Linked DNA regions of Rhinolophus ferrumequinum. Each later gene encodes a partner of the first gene's protein in a complex. Links are inferred from orthologs where the notes say so. Each region holds a gene or a part of one and is shown in the gene's direction. Other genes may lie near its edges.

Region 1 (7,268 bases):
ACATCAAAATTATAACTAAATTACAGAACAATCATCATTGGGAATCACCTGCAATCTAGCTGAACTAAAGCCCTACAACTAAGTACATACAGAAGAAGCCACTTCGAGACTGGTAGGAGGGGCAGAGGCTTGGAACGAGCTGGTCCCACACCCACGTGTGACCATTAAAAATCAGGAGGTATATCTTAACTGCAGAGGTTGGAGGTCCCCCCCCCTCCACAGAAGCGAGGGGTACCAGCTCCATACCAGGCTCCCAACCGAGGGTCTAGTGCTAGGGAGAGAAGTTCCCATTACTTCTGGTTGTGAGAACCAGTGGAGATTGTGGCTGAATGAGATGGAGGGCAACTAGTCTCACAGGCACTCCTCTTAAAGGGCCCGCACATGGACTTACTCGCTGACGGACTCACTTGCCTTGAGGCCATTGCTAGGGCAGCAGCTCAATAGGCAGCAGGGGCATACAAGGAAGAATGGAGTTTTCTGGCTTCAGAGCAAGGTCTGGAGGGACAGCTCTCTCCTGGACGGAGGAGCTAGCAGAAGGCATTGTCGCTTTGTTGAGCCCTCCCCTCTATGGGTATGCAAAGGCAGGCAGCCACCATATCTGAGTCTCCATCACCTGGCTAACACTATTCATCTGCCCTGCCATCATGATTCCCTGAGACCCCACCAAACCCAACTTTTGGGCAAAACCAAGCCACTTCCAGTGGCTTTCCGTACAATTGTCCTGTCTTGGCATGCTGCATGCTTTCCTAAAATCTCTCAAAGATTCACAAAACCCAAACAAGCAGTATATGGCTTTGGCATGTCCTATACCTCTAGCCGATCAGCCCTAAGCCCAGCACTAGCAACAGCTGGCCTTGGTTTGCAGCTTGGCCTCTCAAGGCACCTCCAAGCCCAGTGCAGGCAGCAACCATCTGTGGCTGCTGTGACTGAAATTGGTCTGCAGCAGGTCCCCTTCCAGGAGACCATGGGGCTGGCACAACTGGTATCCAGCTTAGGACCGAGCCAGAGCACCACCTCACCACCTCCAAGGATGACACACCCAAGGTACCAGAGTCCTGGTAAAGTGAATCCTGCTCCATAAAGTCAGCCCCTGTACCAAAGCTCCTCCACTGTAGACATGGCCACTCCTCACAACCAATCAGCCTGAGGGTCAATCGCTCCTAATGATGTGAAAACAGCAACCAAGGCTCAGCTCCAATAGGAGAGCACATACAACCCATACAAGGAAGACACCTGGAGCACCTGGCTCTGGTGACCAGGGAGACGGCGCCATTGGGAACCACAGGAAACCTCCTACATAAGGCCACTCTACTAGGACTGGGAGGCATAGAAGCCCTACCTAATACATAGAAACAAACACAGGGAGGCAGCCAAAATGGAGAAACAAAGAAACATGTCCAAATAAAAGAAGAGACAAAAGCTCCAGAAAAAGACCTAAACAAAAGGGAGACATGCAATCTACCAGATACAGAGTTCAAAACACTGATGATAAGGATGCTCAGTGACACAGGAAACATAAAAATGGAGATAGAAAACATAAAAACCAGTCAGAATAAAGAATACAATAACTGAAATGAAGACTACATTAGAGGGAATCAACAGTAGATAAGATAAAGCAGAGGATTAAATCAATGACTTAGAAAGTAAGTTGGCAAAATACACCCAAACAGAACAGGAAAAAAAAAGAGGAGAGTTTAAGGGGCCTCTGGGAGAACATCAAGCATACCAATATTCACATCATAGGGGTACAAGAAGGAGAAGAGAGAGATCAAGGGATTGAGAACCTATTTAAAGAAATAATGATGGAAAACTTCTCTAACCTTGTGAAGGAAATAGACATACAAGCCCTGGAAACACAGCAAGTCCCACACAATACGAACCAAAAGAGGCCCACACCAAGACACATTTAATTAGAATGACAAAGGTTAAAGACAAAAAAAAAATCTTAAAAGCAGCAAGAGAAAAGTAATTAGTTATCCATAGGGGAGCTCCCATATGACTATCAGCTGATTTTTCAACAGAAACTTTGCAGGCCAGAAAAGACTGGCACAAAACATTCCAAGTGATGAAAAGCAAGGACCTACAAACAAGATTACTCAGCAGAGCTCTCATTTAGAATGGAAGGACAAAGAGCTTAGTTTCCCAGACAACAAAAAGCGAAAACATTTCATTACCACCAAAGCAGAATTATAAGAAATGTTAAAGGTGTTTCTTTAAAAAGAAAAGATAAAAAAATGTGAATAAAATGGCAATAATTACATACCTATCAATAATTGCTTTAAATGTAATTGGATTAAATGCTCCTATCAACAGGTGAGGTGGCTGAACGGATAAGTAAACAAGACCCTTACATATACTGCCTACAAGAGACTCACTTCATATTGAAAGACACACAGACTGAAAGGGATGGGAAAAAGTATTTCATGAAAATGGAAATGAAAATCAAAAAAAAAAAAAGAAAAATCTGGGGTAGCAATACTTATACTGAATAAAATAGACTTTAAAACAAAGGCTATAACAAGAGACAAAGAAGGATCCAGTAATCCCACTTCTGGGTATTTATCTGAAGAAACCCAAACGCTGCTTCGAGGTAATGTGTGCATCCCTGTTCATTGCAGCATTGTTTACAATGGCCAAGATGTGGAGGCAGCCTCGGTGTTCATAGATGGAATAATGGATAAAGAATAGGTGGTACATTTATACAAAGAATATTGCTCGGCCATGGAAGGGAATGGGTTCTCACTATCTGTGGTGTCATGGATGAACCTGTGCACTGTGCTGAGTGGAGTATGTCAGACAGAGAAAAACGCATGCCATGTGATTTTGCTTATATGTGGACTCTAAAGAACAAAATAAACAAACAAATCGGAAACAAACTCATAGATATAGAGAACATTTTGATGGTTGCCAGATGGGAGGGGGTTTGAGGGTGGATGAAAAAGGGGAAGGGATTAAGAAGTACAAATTGGTTGTTACACAGTAGTCATGGGCATGTAACATATAGCATAAGGAATATAGTCAATAATATTGTAATAACTATATCTGGTGTAAGACGGCTACTAGATTAATCGAGGTGATAGATTGGAGGGGATTTGGGGGAAGGGTGAAAAGGGTGAAGGGACTAAGAAGTACAAATTGGTAGTTACAAAATAGTCATGTGGATGTAAAGTAAAACATAGGGAATATAGTCAATACTATGATAATTACTATGTATAGCGCCAGGTGGGAGCTCGACTAGTCAGGGGGATCACTTCTTAAATAGAAATGTCTAACTACTATGCTGTACAGCCAAAATTAATATAATGTCGACTGTACAGCATGTCAACTATAATTGAAAATTTTAAAAAGGGGTAAAAAAGGTGAGGAGGAATAAGAGGTTCAGATTTCCAGGTATAAAACAAACAGGCCATGGGGATGTAATGTACAGCATGGGGAATATACAGTAGTCAATAATACTGTGATAGCGGTGGTACAGTGTCACAGCATTCTGGACCTATGGTGATCACTTCGTTAGGTATATAAATGTTGAATAACTGGTGTACATCTGAAACTAATATTGTATGTTAGCTATATTTTAATAAAAATCTTTTTAAAAATGTAAATGATAATAGTGATGATGATGACCATGGAATGATCAAGATGAAAATAATAACAGCTAATGTTTACTGGGCACTTATGCAGTGCCAGGCACTATTCTAAGTACTTTACATACTCAAACCTATTAAGTAAATACTGTTATTACCCATTTTACTACTAAACTCCAAGCGAACAGAGATCATTAATTTTTTTCTTACCCCTGCATTCCCTGGAGCACCATAGGCAGTTAATACGTAAACATTTGGTAAATAAAATAAAATTTAGTATTGCTAAATTTTCAGCCGAAAGGAACAAGATGGACTTCAGTGCCATAGTGGATATCAGAGGGTTCGTGATTTCACTTCCTCCGGGATTTGCCAACGGCGAGGTCCCTGGGAGGGGCAATATAAGCCAGTGGTTTAAACGTCCTAAGCGGGCCCTGCTGCACCAAACCCATGATGTGGGCTACCAGGTTCCAGAAAACAAACAACGGAGATTTGACCAGAGGAATCCCTTCCGGCGCGCGTCCCAGCGTCTAGGAAGTTGAAGCCCGGTTGCCAAGGCGATCTCAACCTGGGATCAGCCTCCCAGTCACGGCGAATCCACTTTGGGCAAGCCGTGTCCGCGCCCTACGCTCTAGCCTCCGGAGGAGGAGACGCCGGAAGTCTCCACTGCTCTTCCGGGGCGGGCCCGCCCGCGGCCTTTTCCCGCCCACTCCCCACTTCCAGCAGGGATCTTCGCGCGTGCTGTGGTCTGTACGGCTCTCGCTGACGGGTTAGATTTCCCTGGGAGGAAGAGTCTGGGGATCTCCTACGCTCAGCAAGTTTGTTCAAGCGTTCCGGGTGGCTGCGTTTGCGTGAGAGTGTGCTGCTGCCAGGGAAGGCCCTCAAGGGTCGCCTCGGGGACGTTCGCGCCGCCACCGGGTGTGGCGCACCCTCCCTCGGCGGTGTGGTCGGTGCCTAGGCGGCCGCGGTGGGCTCCGCGCCTTGGGATTCTACTAGATGCTTTTACAACCCGGAGTTCTGAGGTTGTGTGTAGCTAACCTTGGCTTGTCCTGCAGTCCCTGCTAAGCGGTCCCAAGAGCACATTTGTGAAGCCGTTCTTCTGGGGGTCCTCTAGAAGAGGTGGAATTGGGCACTTTGTTGTTTGTCCTGTTACGTCACTCGGAGAACGACGCTGCCCAGATGATTGTAGAAGTTTCTGGTGCAGTGGTCATAATAATTTTGTCCAGAGCACACTTGAGCTCCTTATAGGGATGACTGTAGAAGTGATTTTCAGCGGCGCAGACGGTACCTGTGTGTGAGCGCGCGCGCCTTGTTATTTTAAAAATTTAAACATTTTAAAAATCTAAGAAGGTTCTTAAATTTTGATTCTTGCTACGCCTTATATCTTCTGCTAACTCTTACCCATTCTCACCTGAGCTGTATTGCTCTACTTCAAGGTATTCTATTGGTCTACTTCACCTTCAGATAGAAGTAGTAACTCTACTTAAACTTTTTTAAAAAAAATTAAAGGTTATGGGGGTGACAATTATTAGTAGTTACATAGATATCAGGTGTACAATTCTGTAACACATTATTTGTATCTCACATTGTGTGTTCACTGCCCAGAGTCAGTTCTCTTTCCATCACCATACATTAGACCCCTTTACATTCTTCTGGAGCCCTGCTGCCCGCTTACCCCTTACCCCCTGGTAACCCCAAAACTATTGTCTATGTCTATGAATTTTTGTTGTTTCAGTTGTCTGTCTTGTTCTTTTCTTGTTTTCGATTTATATACGACATACCAGTGAAATCATGTGGTTCTCTACTATTTCTGTCTGACTTATTTCACTTAGCATTATAATATCAAGATCCATCCATGTTGTCCCAAATGGTCCTATTTCATCTTTTCTTACCACCGAATAGTATTCCATTGTGTATATATACCACAACTTCTTTATCCATTCACCTATCGAAGGATATTTTGGTTGTTTCCATGTCTTGGCCACCTTACGTAAAGCTGCAATGAACATTGGAGCACACGTGTCTTTATGGATAAATGTTTTCAGATTTTTTGGGTAGATACCCAGGAGAGGGATTGCTGGGTCATATGGTAATTCTATTCTTAACTTTTTGAGGAACCTCCACACTGCCTTCCATAGCTGCTGCACCAGTCTGCATTCCCACCAACAGTGTATGAGGGTTCCTTTTTCTCCACAGCCTCTCCAACACTTTTTACTATTTGTCTTGTTAATGATAGCTATTTTGACTGGGGTGAGGTGATATCTCATTGTGGTTTTTATTTGCATTTCTCTGATGATTAGTGATGTTGAGCATTTTTTGATATGTCTATTTGCCATTTGTATGTCCTCTTTGGAGAAATGTCTCTTCAGGTCCTCTGCCCATTTTTCAATTGGGATGTTTGTTTTTTTGTTGTTGAGTTTCATGAGTTCCTTTTATAATTTTGCACATTTGCCCCTTATCGGAGGCACTGTTTGCAAAAACTTCTCCCATTCAGTTTGTTGCCTCTTTATTTTCTCAATGGTTTCTTTTGCTGTGCAGAAACTTTTAAGTTTGATATACACGTTCATTTATTTTAGTTTTTACTTCCTTTGCCTTTGGAGTCAAATTCATAAAATGCTCTTTGAACCCAAGGTCCATAAGTTTAGTACCTATGTTTTCTTCTATGCAGTTTGTTGTATCAGTTCTTATGCTTAAGTCTTTGATCCATTTTGAATTAATTTTGGTACATGGTGACAGATAGTAGTCCAGTCTCATTCTTTTGCACGTGGCTATCCAATTCTGCCAGCAGCATTTATTGAACAGGCTGTCTTTTCTCCATTGTATGTTTTTTGCTGCTTTGTCAAAAATTATCTGTCAGTATTTGTGGGGGTTTATTTCTGGGTTCTCAGTTCTATTCCATTGGTCTATGTGTCTGTTCTTCTGCCAATATCATGCTGTTTTGATTATTGTTGCCCTGTAGTACAAGCAAAAGTCAGGGAGTATGATACCTCCAGCATTGTTTTTTTTTTCTCTTAGGATTGCTTTAGCTATTTGGGGTCTTTTGTGGTTCCAAACAAATCTGATGATTTTTTGTTCTATTTCTTAAAAAATGCGATTGGGATTTTGACCGGGATTGCATTAAATCTGTATATTGCTTTGGGTAATATGGCCATTTTAACTATGTTGATTCTTCCAATTCATGAGCGCGGATGTTTTTCCATTTCTTTGTGTCTTCTTCAATTTCTTTTAAATATGTCTTATAGTGTTCAATATATAGATCTTTCACATCCTTGGTTAAGTTTATTCCTAGGTATTTTATTCTTTTTGCTGCAATTGCAAAAGGAATTGCTTTTTTTTTATTTCTTTTTTTGAGATTTTATTGTTAGTATATAGAAATGCAATGGACTTTTGTACGTTGATTTTGTAGCCAGCAACTTTACTGTATTCATTTGTTTCTAATAGTTTTTTGGTGGAGTCTTTAGGGTTTTTATATATATAGCATCATGTCATCTGCAAAGAGTGACAGTTTAACTTCTTTCTTCCCAATTCGGATGCCTTTTATTTCTTTCTCTTGCCTGATTGCTCTGGCGAGGACTTCCCACACTATGTTGAAAAGCAGAGGTGATAGGGGACAGCCCGATCGTGTTCCTGAACATAAAGTAATGGCTTCAGATTTTCACTGTTAATTATATTAGCTGAGGGTTTGTC
Region 2 (7,438 bases), on another chromosome or scaffold:
CACTTCAGGGAGAAGCCGGCACTGAACTGCCTGCCTGCACTGTGGTCCTGCCATCTGAGCCAGCCCTTGTAAAGGAGTTCCTGGAAGTGTGTTTCAACGAACAGGACTGAGGCTTTTCCTGTCAAATCGGAGCTGTGCAGCTGTGTCACCATCAGCATCTTCACCAACCAATCAGAGTGGCTCCACTCTGACCAATCAGGACAGTGCTGTTTGGACCAATAAAACTGTGAGGATTTGGACTCCTCATTTACATAACGTCAGAACAATCAGGGACCAGTTGCAGGGACTTGTCTCTATATCTCAGCTCCCCTCTAGCTCGGGGAGCACATTTTCCCTTTCCACTGAAGACTGTTTCCCTAGCTGGAGTTGAAACACCAAAGACATCTTGCCACACCAGAGTGGAGTGGACTGAAGCAGATGGAGTGGACCAGAGCATGGCAGAGCCTACCTGAGTGGACTGGACTGGAGTGTCTTGACTGAGGGCCACCTCTGTGGAACAGAATGTGCTGTTCCAAAGCCATTCTGTATCATAATTGAGCTGTAACACTATTGAGCTGTCGCATACCTGTGCTGTTCTCACAGCTGTGCTGTATCACAATTGAGCTATTTGCACTGAATAGTTTTCCTTCTTCACTATACCCCAAATTGGGGATTCCTGTTGGCATTGAATTGGCATCAATGACCATCAGTTGACACACTCCATTACCTTTGCAGCTTTCAATAAGCTAGTGACTTCCAGGTTTCCATAATAAATAATGTACCCCAAATGGGAACAAGTATAAAGCAAAAAGGAAGGAATAGTAGACAGCATAATGTAGTGTATGAGACAAAGGATTCTTTGAGGGACACCTCTGTACACACAGATCTTTGGTCTTTAGACAGTAAGGTGTCAGCCAACTTCTCTCTCAGCAGGAAATAAACTAGTGATAAAATGTGTACAACTTATTTGTGTGCCCTTGTATTAGGATATTGACTGCTTTGAGGCAGAAACCTTAGCTAGACTCATATTTCACATAACTGATTATTGATCTTATAGCCATGGAACAGGAGACAACTCCCCTCACCCTTTCTTTTCTCCAATTCTGTAAGTCAATTTCTCCACTGGCTTCCGATTTTGCAGCTTTAACACTGGGGTATCTAGGAGTAGTTTTCTACTCAGACAATATGCCTGTAACTCAAAACCAAACATCCTGGTATGCTATTATGGCCAAGGAAGAGTGTCAGATTATTTGCTGGTAAGTTATGTATGGGAATCAGCTGCATTGATGTGACTCATAGAAAGGACATTCAGAGATACAGGCATACCTTGGAGATATTGTGGGTTTGGTTCCACACCACCGCAATAAAGCGGATATTGCAATAAGTGAGTCACACAATTTTTTTGGTTTCCCAGTGCGTATAAAGTTATGGTTACACTATACTGTAGTCTATTAAACATGCAATAACATGTCTAAGAAAATAATGTACATATCTTAATGAAAAATAATGTCCAACTGAGAACTTTGATGGAATTTTGAAGTTTTATCTTTTTGGATGTCAGACTTACTAATTTAATTAAGCAGATATTGTTTAAAGAGGAAAAAAACACAAAAAATAAAGATACTTTATTGCTCAAAAAAGGCTAACCATTATCTAAGTCTTCTGTGAGTTTAATCTTTTTACTGGTCAACAGGCGTGCCTCAATGTTGATGGCTGCTGACTGATATGTGTGGCTGTGGCAATCTCTAAAAAGAAGACAACAATGTGGTGCCCTTTCTACCATATCTGCAGTTACTTCCTCTACCGACGTCTTGAACCCTTAAAAGCCATTCACGAGGGTCGGAATCAACTTCTTCCAAACTCCTGTTAATGTTGATAGTTGACGTCTTCCTGTGAAATCACAAATGTTTTTAATGGCATCTAGCATGGTGAATTCCTTCCAGGTTTTTAATTTACAGATCCATCAGAGGAATCACCATCTATGGCATCAATAGCCTTATGAAACGCAATTCTTAAATAAGACCGTAGCAAATATAATCATAAAGAAAAGTCTGAAATATTACAAGAATTACCAAAATTTGACACAGAGACATGAAGTGAGAAAATGCTGTTGGAAAAATGGCACCGATTGACTTGTTTGGTGCACGGTTGTCACAAACCTTTAATGTACAAAAAGCAGTATCTGTGAAATGCAATAAAGCACAATAAAACAAGGTATGCCTGTACTCAGTGAGGATGTTTTAAACTCTGAAGATGGGAAATTCTATGTCTATAGTAAACTACTTAAAAATGGCATCCTATTTCTCAGAGGCTTATACTCAGGTATAAGATACAAACCTCAGAGTGTAGGCATTTTTCATTTTTACAGTACTAAAGGAAAAACATTGCTCATTTAATGTGGTAGATGCTTTCATATGGATTATTTTACTAAATCCTCACAAAAATCCTGTGAGATAAATGGTATTATACTCATTTTTATAGATAAGGAAACTAAACTTAGAAACCGGCATAGAACTCTATAACTCTTTTCCCACTGTACACACTACTTGAGTACTTACAAATTATGCCTTAATTTATTTATAATTTTTGTTTTGGAAACTGTGTGCCACTGAATTTCTCACTTGCTTAACTTAAGGTTGATCTCTGTACACTAAACAGGAACTGACACATTATCAGATTACTTGATTGATTTGACATTTGTTTTGGCAAAAATGTACAGCAGCTCAAGATTGAAACCCAGGTTTTGCAATATCACTTTTCTTTGTTTCATCCCCCTCCCCAGGTTAATTCACAAAGGCAGCAGTTTCCAAATGCCTTCTTGCAAAGCTATATTTTGAAATAGACAAATATTGATCACTGATGAAGAAACCAGGCGATAAACCTTTGCAAGTCAAAGAAAAGACAAAATAAAAAACAAATTGCAGAAGATGTTTGCAAATACACTGCAACCAATAAAGTTTTTGAGCTCTTCCCCGATGTTCTATCAAGTTTTTACTCAAACAAGTAAACATTTTATTGGGCCAGGCATAGCACCATTGAGATGAATGAGATTCCATTCAACTCCTATTCTCCAGGAGTTGCCATAATGAATGAAGGCAAAAAGGATTTCCCAATACTGTGGTAAATGCTATAGTCAGGGTACAAGTACAATGAGAGGTAAGCAGAGAGAAAAATCTTCCTGGAGGAGGCTGACTTAAGACCACTAGTGAGTGCACACTTGGCCTGGTTCATCGCTGGGCTGTGCGGTGTCTCAGAGATGCCAGGTCCTCCTCCCTGGGCCCTAATGACTTTCTGGACCTATTCCACCAATTATTGTTCCCACCCCTTCTCGGTTCCCTCTGAAGCTTCTCTTCCTTTGCCTGCCCTTTTAAATTGGTGTTTCCTAGGTACAGTTGTAACTCACAGGATTTTATCCAAACCTCTCTCCTGCAGAACATCACTTTTCTTTTCCTACACACACACACACACACACACACACACACACACACAGTGGTACCTCAGTTTTCCAACGCAATCCGTTCCGGAAGACCATTCGAGTTCTGAAACATTTGAAAACCGAGGCGCAGTTTCCCCATAGAAAGTAATGCAAAATGGATTAATCTGTTCCAGACCTTTAAAATCAACACCTAAAACTGTAAATTGAGCATGAATTTTACTATCTAATGATACCACAGATCCATAAAATTTACGGCGTTCGTAAACCAAAATGTTCGTCAATGGAGACGTTCAAAAACCGAGGTGCCACTGGGGTGACAATGATATGCACACATATGTTAAGAGGTGTTATCTATGCTGAAGTATAGTTTGCTATAATCAGAAGTCTCTGGACACTGAAGATAACCAGGTAACCACCTTGAGCACCTCTTGTAATTGCAGAAGTCAAATGTGACTTATATTCATCTTTTGTTATCGTTATGTATTATTACAATTTAGTTTTTTCCCTTTCTTAAAATGTGTATACATTTTTTATTGTACACATATAATCGAAACAAAACGACTTCTCACGAATCCACCATGCACTTTAAAACCGAATCCACCATCCACTTTAAAACCGTAACATTACCGGTACTGTGGGTTCCCTTCCACAGGTATATCGTGAAATTTCCCCATTCCCTTGCTTTTCTTTAGTTTTACAACGGCCTTGTTGCTCCACTTGGCAAGAGGGAGGTAAATGGAGGCAGCCAGGCCGCCGCTCACGCGCTGGTGCCCACAAAAATAACAACGCCCTCCTCGCCACCACGGCCACCAGCCAGGACAGCAAAACCATCAAGACGGCAGCGGCCCCGCCCCCCTGATCTGCCGGCGGCCCTGGGGGGCGGGGCGGGAGGCTGCTCAGGCGCGTGGGCGGGCGGCGCGGGCCGGTGACGTCATCCGGCAGCGCGGGCCCGGTGCACGTGACTGCGGCGCGGAGGAGAAGGTGGTGGCGGTGGGAGTGTGGGGATTCCCGGCAGCATGAGTTGTTGCGGGCTCTTGCGAAGGGCTGTGGCATCGCGTTCCTGCAGCGCTCTGGTGGCCTCTGCCGTGAGCCCGCGCCGGCTGAGCACCAGTCGGACGAGCCGAGCTTTCGCCAAGGAGCTCTTCCTGGGCAAAATCGAGAAGGTAACGCCAAGTCTGGGCCCACTCGGGCTCTCTGCCGCCTGCTTTTTGCCCCGATCAGGAAACACTGGGATCAAGCTTTTCCCGTGTCCGCACACCTGAGGGGCAAGGCGTGCTAACACTCCAGGTTCCTGAGTCCCATTAGATCATGTGCATTTTTCCAGGGAAAGGGAAGAGTCTTTCCAGGGCGGGGGGCCCCGAGAACTCATGGTTTTGACAAGTGTTCCATTTTGTTCTTGTCCAGTCAGTTTGGGAAACACTAGGCCAGGCGATGCAACCCTCAACTCAGCGGTCTGGCCCCCGAATGTGTGGGGCTTCCTCTCTGAATCCTAAACACAGCTCGGACCGTGCCACTCTGTCAGCTTCCAGCAGACCCGAGGCGTCCACAGCTGAGTCCGAGCACCTCACTCTGCCATTCAGGTTCCTCTGCAGTCTGGCTCCAAGGTGCCCTCACCCCATCCCTTCCACGGTGGCACCACCCAGTAGTAACCCAGATCTTACGCAATAGTAATAACAGCTTGGTTATTAAGCATTCAACGTCCTCTTATAGTAGGAAGACTTGGATTTGACCTCGGTTCTGTGACTGAGCCTCAGTTCTTTTAGCCTTAGAAAAGGAGCTAGTGATGTATTCTGTCTCACAGATGTGTTGTAAAGCCCCAGTGAAATATATAGGGTGTGGAAATGCTTTTTAGCCTGTAAGGTACTGTGCAGATGCAGAAGTCAGCAGAATAGGTAGTAAATGCTGGCTTCAACACTTACTAGTGTATGTGCCTAGTACTTACCCCCTCCTAAAGGTGCTTTGTAAACCAAAGGAAAAAACTTGCATAAAGTGCTTTGAGCTTGGCTGAAATGTTGGCTGATAGTATATCATTTAAGGACTTATTCCCTGGTTTTCCTTTGGAACATTCCTCTAAGGTTGCCAAGCATTACAGATGCAGAAGCAGAGACTCAGACTAACAGTGGTTTGCTCTGGTAGGAAGTATACAAACTCTGTCTTTAAGGTTTAGGAAACCATTTTCCCCCAGCCTGAGGCTGTGGTGCTCTGTCCTGGGATCTCATGCCCGCCTCAGCACAGTGAAGAAAGAAGACAAGTCATTCATGCTTCTCTTTTTCCAAACTTTTGGCACTCCCTCCCCCATTGTCACTCTGAGCTGTCAGCTTTGCTTCCTATTTCACTGAGAAAATACATGCAGTCAGATGACAACATCCACCATAACACTTAGCCGCTCCTTCCTATGCTCTGTGCCGTGTGGGCTGCATTCTCTTATTGTAGATGAACTGTCTACTTAAAGAAAAGGCCAAGCGCGTCACTGTACCTCATGTCTTCTCACCTACTCAGGGCTTTGACCCAGTAATTCTGTCCTTTCTCATCTACATCATCAGTTGTTCCTTCTCTGCTGCATCTTGAACTCACACCATTCAGGCTTTTGTCCTGAACAATCCACTTATGCTCATGAAAGTCAGTAGTGACCTTTGTGTCATCACATGTAGAGATCTGTTCTCTGTCCTCATCTTACTTGACCCATCATTGGCGTCTAACACAGTTTATCACTCTGGCTTCTAAGAAACTATTCTCTCCTAGTTTTTCCATCTGCTTTACTGGCTGATCCTTTTAACTTTTTCACTTTTTCTTTCTTGGCTCCTTGACCTCTAAACATTGGCCAACATTTTCAACTAGCCCAGTTGGAGCTGGAGTTTTTTAGGGCTCAGTCTGTAGACTTCTACAACCCCACATTGGATGATCTAATTTAGTATTGTGGCTTTAAATACCATCAATATGCGGATGTCTCAAATTTATTTCTCCAGCTCAGATTTCTCCCCTGAACTCCAGACTCTTTTTATATCTACCTTTCTAACAAAAGCTTCACTTAGGTGTGAATAAGCATTTCAAATTTAGCATATCCAAAACTGAGTTCCTGGTCTCCCTACCCAACCCCATTCCTTCTACCAGCCTTCTTAATCATAAATGGTTAATTTACTGTTCAACTTGTTCAGGCCAAATACCTGGAGTTACTTTTGATACCTCTTAGTCTCATAATCCACAGCTAATCTGACAGCACGTCTTGTTTTCTCTGCCTTACATTTAGAATCAGATTCTTATATTTAGAATCTGACTGCTTTTAAGCACCTGCACCACTATTGCCCTGGTTTAGGTCAGCATCATCTCTCACAGCATTATTGGGGTTTGAGCAGGAACGTGGCATCTGAGATGCCTAGAATTTCAGAACAGAAAGAGACCTTCAAGATCATCTAGACCAGTAGTTGTCAAACTGCCTTCAGGTGGACCCTCGTTATTCATGGGAGTGTCCCTGGGGCTACTGCTGGGACCAGTGGGAAGCCGAGTAGGAGACATTTGGGTGATCTTTCTCCCCCTCTGCAGTCTCAACCAGAGCAGCTTGACTTTTATTTGTTCTACGTATTTGGTGTCTGCACTAGATTTAACTAAAAAATATGTTTTACTACTTTAAAAAATTTGGAAGCGCAGATGGGAATTAAACCCAGCACCCATGAGGCACCCCGTTTAGTTTATGAACACTGATAGAAGAGATTTGTTCTTCCATGCATGGAGATCTCGCTCCCTGCAGCAGTTAGCCTTTGGTTGTGCTTGAGGGCCATCTAGTTCCCAGGCTGTTCTCTTTTCTTTTCTGGAGTGCTCACTGGTACCAGGATAATCTTATAATCGTCCTCTAACATAGCTCATTGCACAAGGCCTGAGTGAACCCATGGGCTTGTGAAAGCCAGAGCAGTGGGTTGAGCATCTGTATTTCAGCTAAGGAGCTGGCTGTGTTCTGAGAGGCTTCAGAGTGATTAGTCTTAGCATATTTTCCTCCTAGACAGTCTAGGACAGGGTCAGAAATGGCAT
Region 3 (7,707 bases), on another chromosome or scaffold:
CTCAGTCGGGAACAAATCAAGTTACTACTGTAGAAAAGAGAATCCTGAATGAAAAGCAACTCTTGGGGAAAAAAATCTCTAACAGAGAAATAAAGAGTCTTCTGTTGATAAAACTGAGATCTGTTAAAATGTGAAGAGTGGGGTTGAGGAGGTAGGAAGTTGTGTCATAAAGCAAAAGAGCAGTGAGTACAGGGGTTTGAGGTACAGCAGTTTTAGCTTATCTAAGAGCAGTCAACAATAGTGCCTAAAAAAATGGACTTAATGAGATGTCAGACCCATTCGCACTTCCCATCATGGTTGTATGTTACCAACCAGAGAACCTCCTCTGTACTTTTATAATAACATACAAAATAAACACCAAATGAAATCTGTCCTATGAAAATTTATTTAAACACGAACATATTCAACAATGATTAAACATGTGGCTCAATAAAGATATTTATTGTTAAAATTACATTAATCTAGCTCTTCCATCATATCTACCAGATGTCACAATGAAGAAAGAAAAAAGATTCAAGATGACAGAGGATAGTACTCTCTGCAGAATAAATCTAGGTTAGATTTTACTTATATTTTAGAAATAGTACAAAAGTAAGCTTAGTCAATTAAAAATATAATGCACATGTCACAATTTATTTGGCTAGTTGTGTAAAGATTCAAAAATATATCTTAATACTTCTGGTTTTAAGAGATTAAAAACAAGATAAATTGTTTTTCTAAATAGATTTAAAGAGATCAGTTCATAAAGTAAATTACATATGCATATACTTTAGTATAACCCAAATATATACTTGTTTTGCTAATTAGAACTTGTTGGTTCCTTAAAAATTTGATCCATTACAAGCAATTCATTGTTAAAGAAGGAAGAGAGAAAAGGAGGGATGGAGGGATGAAGGGGGGAAGAGGGAGGAAGGGACGCAGGGAGGAAAGAAAGAGGGGAAGAGGGAGGAAGGAAGAAAGAGGGAAAAGGGAAATAAAAATTAAATTACTTCTCATAAAGTATAAGTTTCAATAATGTATCAGCAATTTTTGTAACTTCCTTTAAAGGTAGGAACTCTTAAGAGACTCAGTCTATTGGGTTTAAAAACCTTAAGATCACTGGCTTAGTTAAGTTACACCTAAAATATCAATTGCACTTCCTCCTCCTCCTTCCTAGATTCCCTTTTATCCCTTTATATCTCTCTCCCTCTCCCTGGCCCCATCTGTCTCTCTCTCTCTCTCTCTCTCTCTCTCTCTCTCTCTCTCTCTCTCTCTCTCTCTCTCTCTCTCTCTTTCACACACACACACACACACACACACACACACACACTCACGCAATGTGTTTAATTCAATTATAAGTCTAAAATAAAGTAGTCCAATAGGGACAATGTCTTGAGAACAATAAATGGTAGAAAGAATTAAAATACACTGTAAGTTAAATAAATCAAAGAGCCATATCATTTATTGGCTACATTACCAAAACCACTCTTGTTCCAGACAAGCCACTATTGTCAGGTCTAGACAGGTGTGGCTCCAAAATCTCATAGAGAGTTTACAAGTGCTTCTCTCGGTGACAATGAGCGAGACTGGGAATGAGAGAAGGAAATAATCCCAGCCTTAAATCCCAGTGTACAAAAGGACATTGCTAGGTGTTTCAAAAATTTTAAATATCATTTTCTATCTCTACAGATGACAACAGTTGGATAAAGCATCTCACTGATCATAAGTTTTCTCAATGCACCTTCCAAATCCACAGGTAGACGGATTCAACATCATGCAGAGCCAGGCTACACTTTAACCATCACCCTGAACTTTAGTTTCAGGTTGTAGCAACTCATATAACTGGGCAATATTTGGATCTATGCTAGCTCAGTATAGTAGAGTTCAGTGGTGTTCATATAAATTTTGGTTCAAAACTCTCGAGAAAACTATAGTTGATCTGATCTTCTGTACATGGCCAAAAAAAAAAAAAAAGGCTGGTTTCCCTTGTTTCACTAGGATCCTTAGGAACCAAGTTAACCTGGGATAGATCCAGGCTAAAGTAAATCCCAAGATCTGAACTATAATAAACTATATGTCAGGAACCCATTGGCTCTTGATCAATTTCAGGAATGGATACGTGGTAGGAGTCAGGTGTTTGCCTCACTTGAAGAACTTGCCAATCATGCTATTGGATATTGCATACATCTGAAAAAGCACACAGTTACCCAAATTGTCCTTTATCACAAAAGTGAAGATTTACACTAGAGTAAACCCAAATATGAAATCTATTTTCAACCAAAAGATAAATAATAAATCTATAATTTTTTTCAGTGCAGTTCTGCTATCTTTTACAACCATGTAATTCACTTGATAATACTAAAACCATGCCGAAGAACACTGTACAAGTTTCGTTCTTAAAGATTTTTAAAAGTGACCTTTAACAAGCTAAGAAAACAAGCTGAAGAAAATCCCAAATCTATGGTACCAAATCTATCCTCATTATAAATGGTGATTTAGACAACCTGATTTATGAAGTCATCAATGTCTATAATTAAATACTATAGTCCTACTTCATTTCACGTTAGCAAAATTATATTACTAAACGATGTGCCACAGAAAAGACATTATTATAATAAATATTTCCCCAAGCTCAAGCAAAATTTTACTCTCAAATGGAATGCAATGTAAATTGCAAATACCAGAACCAAGAAAAGGGAGAAACATATATTATATAAAAGCCTCATAGCCCACCTTTCTTCTTGACTGGCATTCTTGGTCCTTCTACTGTCACAGGATGCAGGATCTCTTTTCAGGTCTCAACTCGATCCAACTGGATTGAAGCCAAGAGCCAGGTAACTGTTGCAAACCACTTCACCTGTTTAGTTTTGAAATCCAGGCTGTCTTCTTTCAGGTAAAGAAAAAATAGCGTATCTTTTCCACAATTAAACTTTTGACATTGCCCACAGAGTTTAGTGAAAAATAACTTTTGAGTTTTTCAAGTTTTTCAATTTTTATAAAATATTCTGTTTTTTAAAAAGCTAATAAAATTATTGTAAGCATAGAAAATATTATTAAAACTCCTCTTCAGGCAGCAACATTTTTGAAGATCAATGAATAACTCAATTAAGGCACAAACCAAATTTACAAAGCTGTTTCATTACTCAATACATGATCTAATTCAAAAATGAACTGGTTGATGAGAAAGATCCTCAATTCTTTAGAGAAAAATTTAAACACCCCTCCAAAAAATAAAAATACTTTTAAAAACCTCTTTGACTGGTCTCTAAAAAGGTGGGTGAGTTTGAAGAGTTTCCTGGGGCAGAACACAGACTGAAAGGCCCCTTTCTATTTACTGGACCAGAAGTTCCAGATCTCGCCCCCTCAGTAAGACAGGATCCAGCTTGCTGTCACTTTCATTTTTTTTCTTCTGTGTTGTCCAAGCCCCTCAGGCTTGATCCTTAATGCCCCTCTGATTCTGATCCTCCCGTGTATTAACCGAGAGGACTGAAAAGAAGGAAAGCAATCCCTTGGCATGGAGACATTAAAGTGACAGTGCTACTCAATGGGCACTTGATGCAGGATGAGTTGGCGAAGCAAATTTCTTCACACTGGAGTCATTCACATCATGCCATCTCTTCGCATCCAAGCAGCTGCCTATCCAGCGAGGAAAAACACTGAGACTGCTCCAGAGAAGTCAAACCTTCCCGCAAAGGTGTTTTCTGAGACGCTGTAGTAATATTAGGCATGTGAGCACAAGCTGTGCAGAGAGAGTTCGCGATTTCCTAAATGAGAGTGTTCGGCTGCTTGGCTTCCACATCCACCCTTTCTCTCAATCTCTCTCCAAACTACCCACCTTCCTTGTGCAGAAAAGACAAGAAATCTGTGCTACCGCTGGCCACCCCTACCCACACCCCATTCTTATATAGAAGAGCACAGAAATGTCCTGCACCCTCCAAGCGATGAAGTGTTTCCTCAGGCAGGAGAAACAGCAGCACTAGAAATTATATAACTCTCGGATTTGGCTTCTCTAAGACATGGAGGCTGGAGGGTCGGGGGTTGCTGGTCTGGGAGATACTGCTGGGCACTGAGCGTGCACAGAAAGGCGCCAGGCCTCGTTGCTGCGCCCCCCACCCCGAGACACTGGCTGGCACGGGGGTCTTCTCGGGAATTAGGGGGCAAATTTCCCTCTGGTCCCTTTCCAAGCGGAGTGAAAGGATGGAAGATGAGGGCACTAAAGATTAGGAAGAGGAGTCAGTCGGCTGCGAGGGGAGGAGGCCAGTCGGGGCTGCCCTGGCGGCCGGGTGGGCTCAGGGGAGGAGGTGCCTGAGAAGCCAGAGCCTTAACACTTGGGCCAAGCCAAAGGCTGAGCTCCCTCAAGGAGTGAGAGGGGCGGGCAGCTCGGCCCCAGCTAACAGAGGTGCCCAGAAGAGAGGAAAGCGCGCAGTAACATCCCTGCGCTCGGACCGCCCCTTGTCTCCCTCGGGATGGGAGAAGAGGGAGCTAGGTTAACAAATAGCAAAAGAAGGGAATGCAGGGCTGGCGGGGGGGCGGGCCTACGGGAGTCTGGACCTCCTCGAAGCCAATGAGAGGCCGTAATTTCAGGAAGCCGCACCCAATCACAGCCAGGATGGAGGGCGCGGCTTTTGACTAAGTCGGGGCGGGCCGGGCGGGCCGGGACTGCGGGAGAGAGGCGTGACCACTTCCCTCCCGGCGTTCTCGGTCCCCGCCCACTCGCTAGTCACGTGAGCCCTCAAGATGGCGGCGCTCGGGCGTGAGGCTGGGGCTGACCTGAGGGATGGAAGTGTGGTGCCGGTGGGAGCTGGGGAAGTGCGCAAGGTAGGCGGAAACCCAGGTGGTATGGGCCCTGATTTCTGTAGCCTCAAGTGTTGGAGGACTCTTCTGGAATGATGTATAAGGGGCTTGAATACCTAAAGAGAACAGCTCCCAGGTCCATGCAGGGCTCAATCAAGTCTCCAGTTGCAATGGAAAGAGGCGGAAAGAATGTAGGAGACCTAAAGTCCAGTCTTGATTGCTTGATTTTTCTTGCCTCCTGGCCTTTGCACTGGCCTTTCCTTCAACTTGAAAGGCATCCCTGCATCTCTCCCTCCCCACACAGCGCGCGCCAAATTCTCCTCTTTCGGATATTCGCGTAAATGTCACTTCCTCTGGGAAGCCTTCCCACATTTACCCTGGATAGGTTAAGTTTGGCTTTTGCTTTTATGGCATACTCACTCTGCGTTTAAATTCCCTGCCTTTTTGTCCAGACCTCCGTCTGGGTTGTGTGTCCCTGAGGATGACTACATCTTGATTATCCCAAGGGTTGTCAAATGATGGAAGATTGTTGAATAAAATTCTGAAAGTCAGGTGAAATAGTACACATAAAAGCACTACAAAACCATAAAATACTTTGTAAACTATAAATCTACATAAATACACTCTTTCTGGTATGATCATGGAGACCAGTTGAGTGGCCTTGGACTATTTAGATAAAATGTTGGTTATAGCAAAAATCTTTGTTTCAATACTTGTCAAAAATCTATCAAAAAGCTATCCATATATTTTTGTTTTAATAACAGTACCTTCCAAAGACTAGGCACTCAATAAATATTTGCTGTCCTGTTTTAGTATTTTAGGCTCATAATCCTGTGTCCTCCTAGACAAGGTAGGGGGTTGATACAAGTCATAGCCTGAAAGTTTTCTTTGTGAGGAGTAAGGGACTTCAATGAATTGAATGACAGCAAAACAAAAAATTTATTCAAGGTTTCTGGTTAATTATGTTACTGACTTCTGTCTTCATAGAACATTAGATATAGAACCTCCCCCCAGATGTTACTATCTCTTCTCTTCCATTTTCCATTTAGATGTCCGAGGCAAAAGATTAAATCTAGTCCCTGAGAAACTGTAACTTGTAAAAAAAAATAAAATTTTCCCTGTCCTCCCCAGATATTTTAAAGAAAAAGATAGAACTACCATGTTTCCCCGAAAATAAGACCTAGCTGGACAAACAGCTCTAATGCGTCTTTTGGAACAAAAAATAAGACCTGGTCTTATTTTACTATAAGACCGGGTATAATGATATAATACAACATAATATAATTAATATAATACCGGGTCTTATTAATTTTTGCTCCAAAAGACACATTAGAGCTGATTGTCTGGCTAGGTCTTATTTTTGGGGAAACATAGTAGCTTGAGTACAGTCTAAAATGATGCAAGGAAAGAAACTAAGTCATTATTAATTAGTCACTGTGTAATACCATACAAATGTCCAAAGGAGCCCATATCTTCAGGATATTTATACCATGGATGAATTGGCCTTTCATTAGTTAGGGTTAGGATTGGTACATAAGAGGTCGGACAATTAAGTTCAAGAACTCATCCTAGAAAAAGTGCTACATACCTCATTGCTGAATATCACTATGGTCACCTTCGAAGTACGCCCCTTGGGAAGCTATGCACTGATGCCAGTGCTTAGTCCACCCTTCAAAGCAATTTTGTAACTCTTTATCTGCAATGGCCATCAGAGCTGTCATCGTATTACCCTTGATGTCCTGAATGTCATCAAAATGTCTTCCTTTCAATATTTTCTTTATCTTTGGGTAAAGAAAGAAATCATTGGGGGCCAGATCGGGTGAGTAGGGAGGGTGCTCCAATAGTTATATGTTTACTGACTAAAAACTCCCTCACAGACAGTGCAGTGTGAGCTGGTGCATTGTCGTGATGCAAGAGCCAGGAATTGTTGGTGAAAAGTTCAGGTCATCTAACTTTTTCACGAAGCCTTTTCAGCACTTCCAAACAGTAAAATTGGTTAACTGATTGCCCATTTGATACAAATTCCTAATAAATAATCCCTCTGATAATCAAAAAAGGTTAGCAACATCTTTGCAACAGGTTCACAAACTTAATTGTCTGACCTCAGCTTATTCAGCAAATGAGTATTACAGTGATGTTCAACATGTGTCCATTGACTGCCAGCAACAGAATCACTTGGTGCTATTAAAATGCAGATTTCTAAGTTTCACCCTACTCCTGTTGAATCCACATATCTCAGGTGGGAGCTCAAGAGACTGCATTTCAAATAAACTCCCCACATGATTCTTGTGCACAGGAGAGGTTGAAAATCACTGATTTATTAAGTAACTTCTGTGTTCATTGCACTTAATCCACTCTAATTTTCTTGCCTGGGACTCCGGAAATTTGAGATTTAGTCTATGCCATTAACTAAATTTGATGTAAAAATGGAGATTGGTATAAATTGTGACGGGCCATACACTTTTCTTTGAATGAACTTTCTATTCATTGGCTAACCTGGAATCCCATAATTCTAGTGTGGCAAAAAATTTAATGTTATTAAGACTTTTCACAGAGATCTAAGAGTCTTACCCAGAGCAAAACATTCAGAAAGGATCCTTTCTGAGGATCCAGGGTGTTGTGTTTTTTTTTACCACTGGTTTCTGTGAAAATGGTACTGGCCAAATCCTCATGGTCCCTTGACATTGACAACCACCTATTCATATATCACATTTGGGACACAGGAACCTCCAACCCTGGTGTCCAGTGCCATGAGACCCTACTCACCGGTATACCACACAGCAATTTCCAGGAAAGGCCCTGCTTTCACCCCAGGTACTACTAGGGAGCTGGATATGTAACTCATGTAATGCAAGGTAGCCATGATCCACTGCCTCTTCCTAGCCTGGAACAGTGTCCCTCTTTGTGATTTTTTTTCTCTCACTGTTCTGCAAG

The links. The genes of interacting proteins can lie anywhere in the genome.
Region 2: cytochrome c oxidase assembly factor 1 homolog (region 1) and ACAD9 share a complex: the UniProt entries of both Homo sapiens proteins name them as parts of the mitochondrial complex. The link is inferred for Rhinolophus ferrumequinum from reciprocal best matches to the Homo sapiens genes COA1 and ACAD9.
Region 3: cytochrome c oxidase assembly factor 1 homolog (region 1) and TMEM126B share a complex: the UniProt entries of both Homo sapiens proteins name them as parts of the mitochondrial complex. The link is inferred for Rhinolophus ferrumequinum from reciprocal best matches to the Homo sapiens genes COA1 and TMEM126B.

The regions. Positions count from the first base shown.
Region 1 is NC_046303.1:57,539,959-57,547,226, reverse strand, and holds the start of cytochrome c oxidase assembly factor 1 homolog, read left to right. Parts: upstream 1-4,248; 5' UTR 4,249-4,327; exon of another isoform or gene 4,328-4,350; intron 4,351-4,431; exon of another isoform or gene 4,432-4,606; intron 4,607-7,268. UniProt on the Homo sapiens protein: Component of the MITRAC (mitochondrial translation regulation assembly intermediate of cytochrome c oxidase complex) complex, that regulates cytochrome c oxidase assembly.
Region 2 is NC_046285.1:217,023-224,460, reverse strand, and holds the start of ACAD9 (complex I assembly factor ACAD9, mitochondrial), read left to right. Parts: upstream 1-4,431; coding exon 4,432-4,578; intron 4,579-7,438. UniProt on the Homo sapiens protein: As part of the MCIA complex, primarily participates in the assembly of the mitochondrial complex I and therefore plays a role in oxidative phosphorylation.
Region 3 is NC_046294.1:58,590,422-58,598,128, forward strand, and holds the start of TMEM126B (complex I assembly factor TMEM126B, mitochondrial), read left to right. Parts: upstream 1-4,700; 5' UTR 4,701-4,716; coding exon 4,717-4,797; intron 4,798-7,707. Other genes in the region: DLG2 (disks large homolog 2), read right to left, coding at 2,713-2,731. UniProt on the Homo sapiens protein: As part of the MCIA complex, involved in the assembly of the mitochondrial complex I. Participates in constructing the membrane arm of complex I.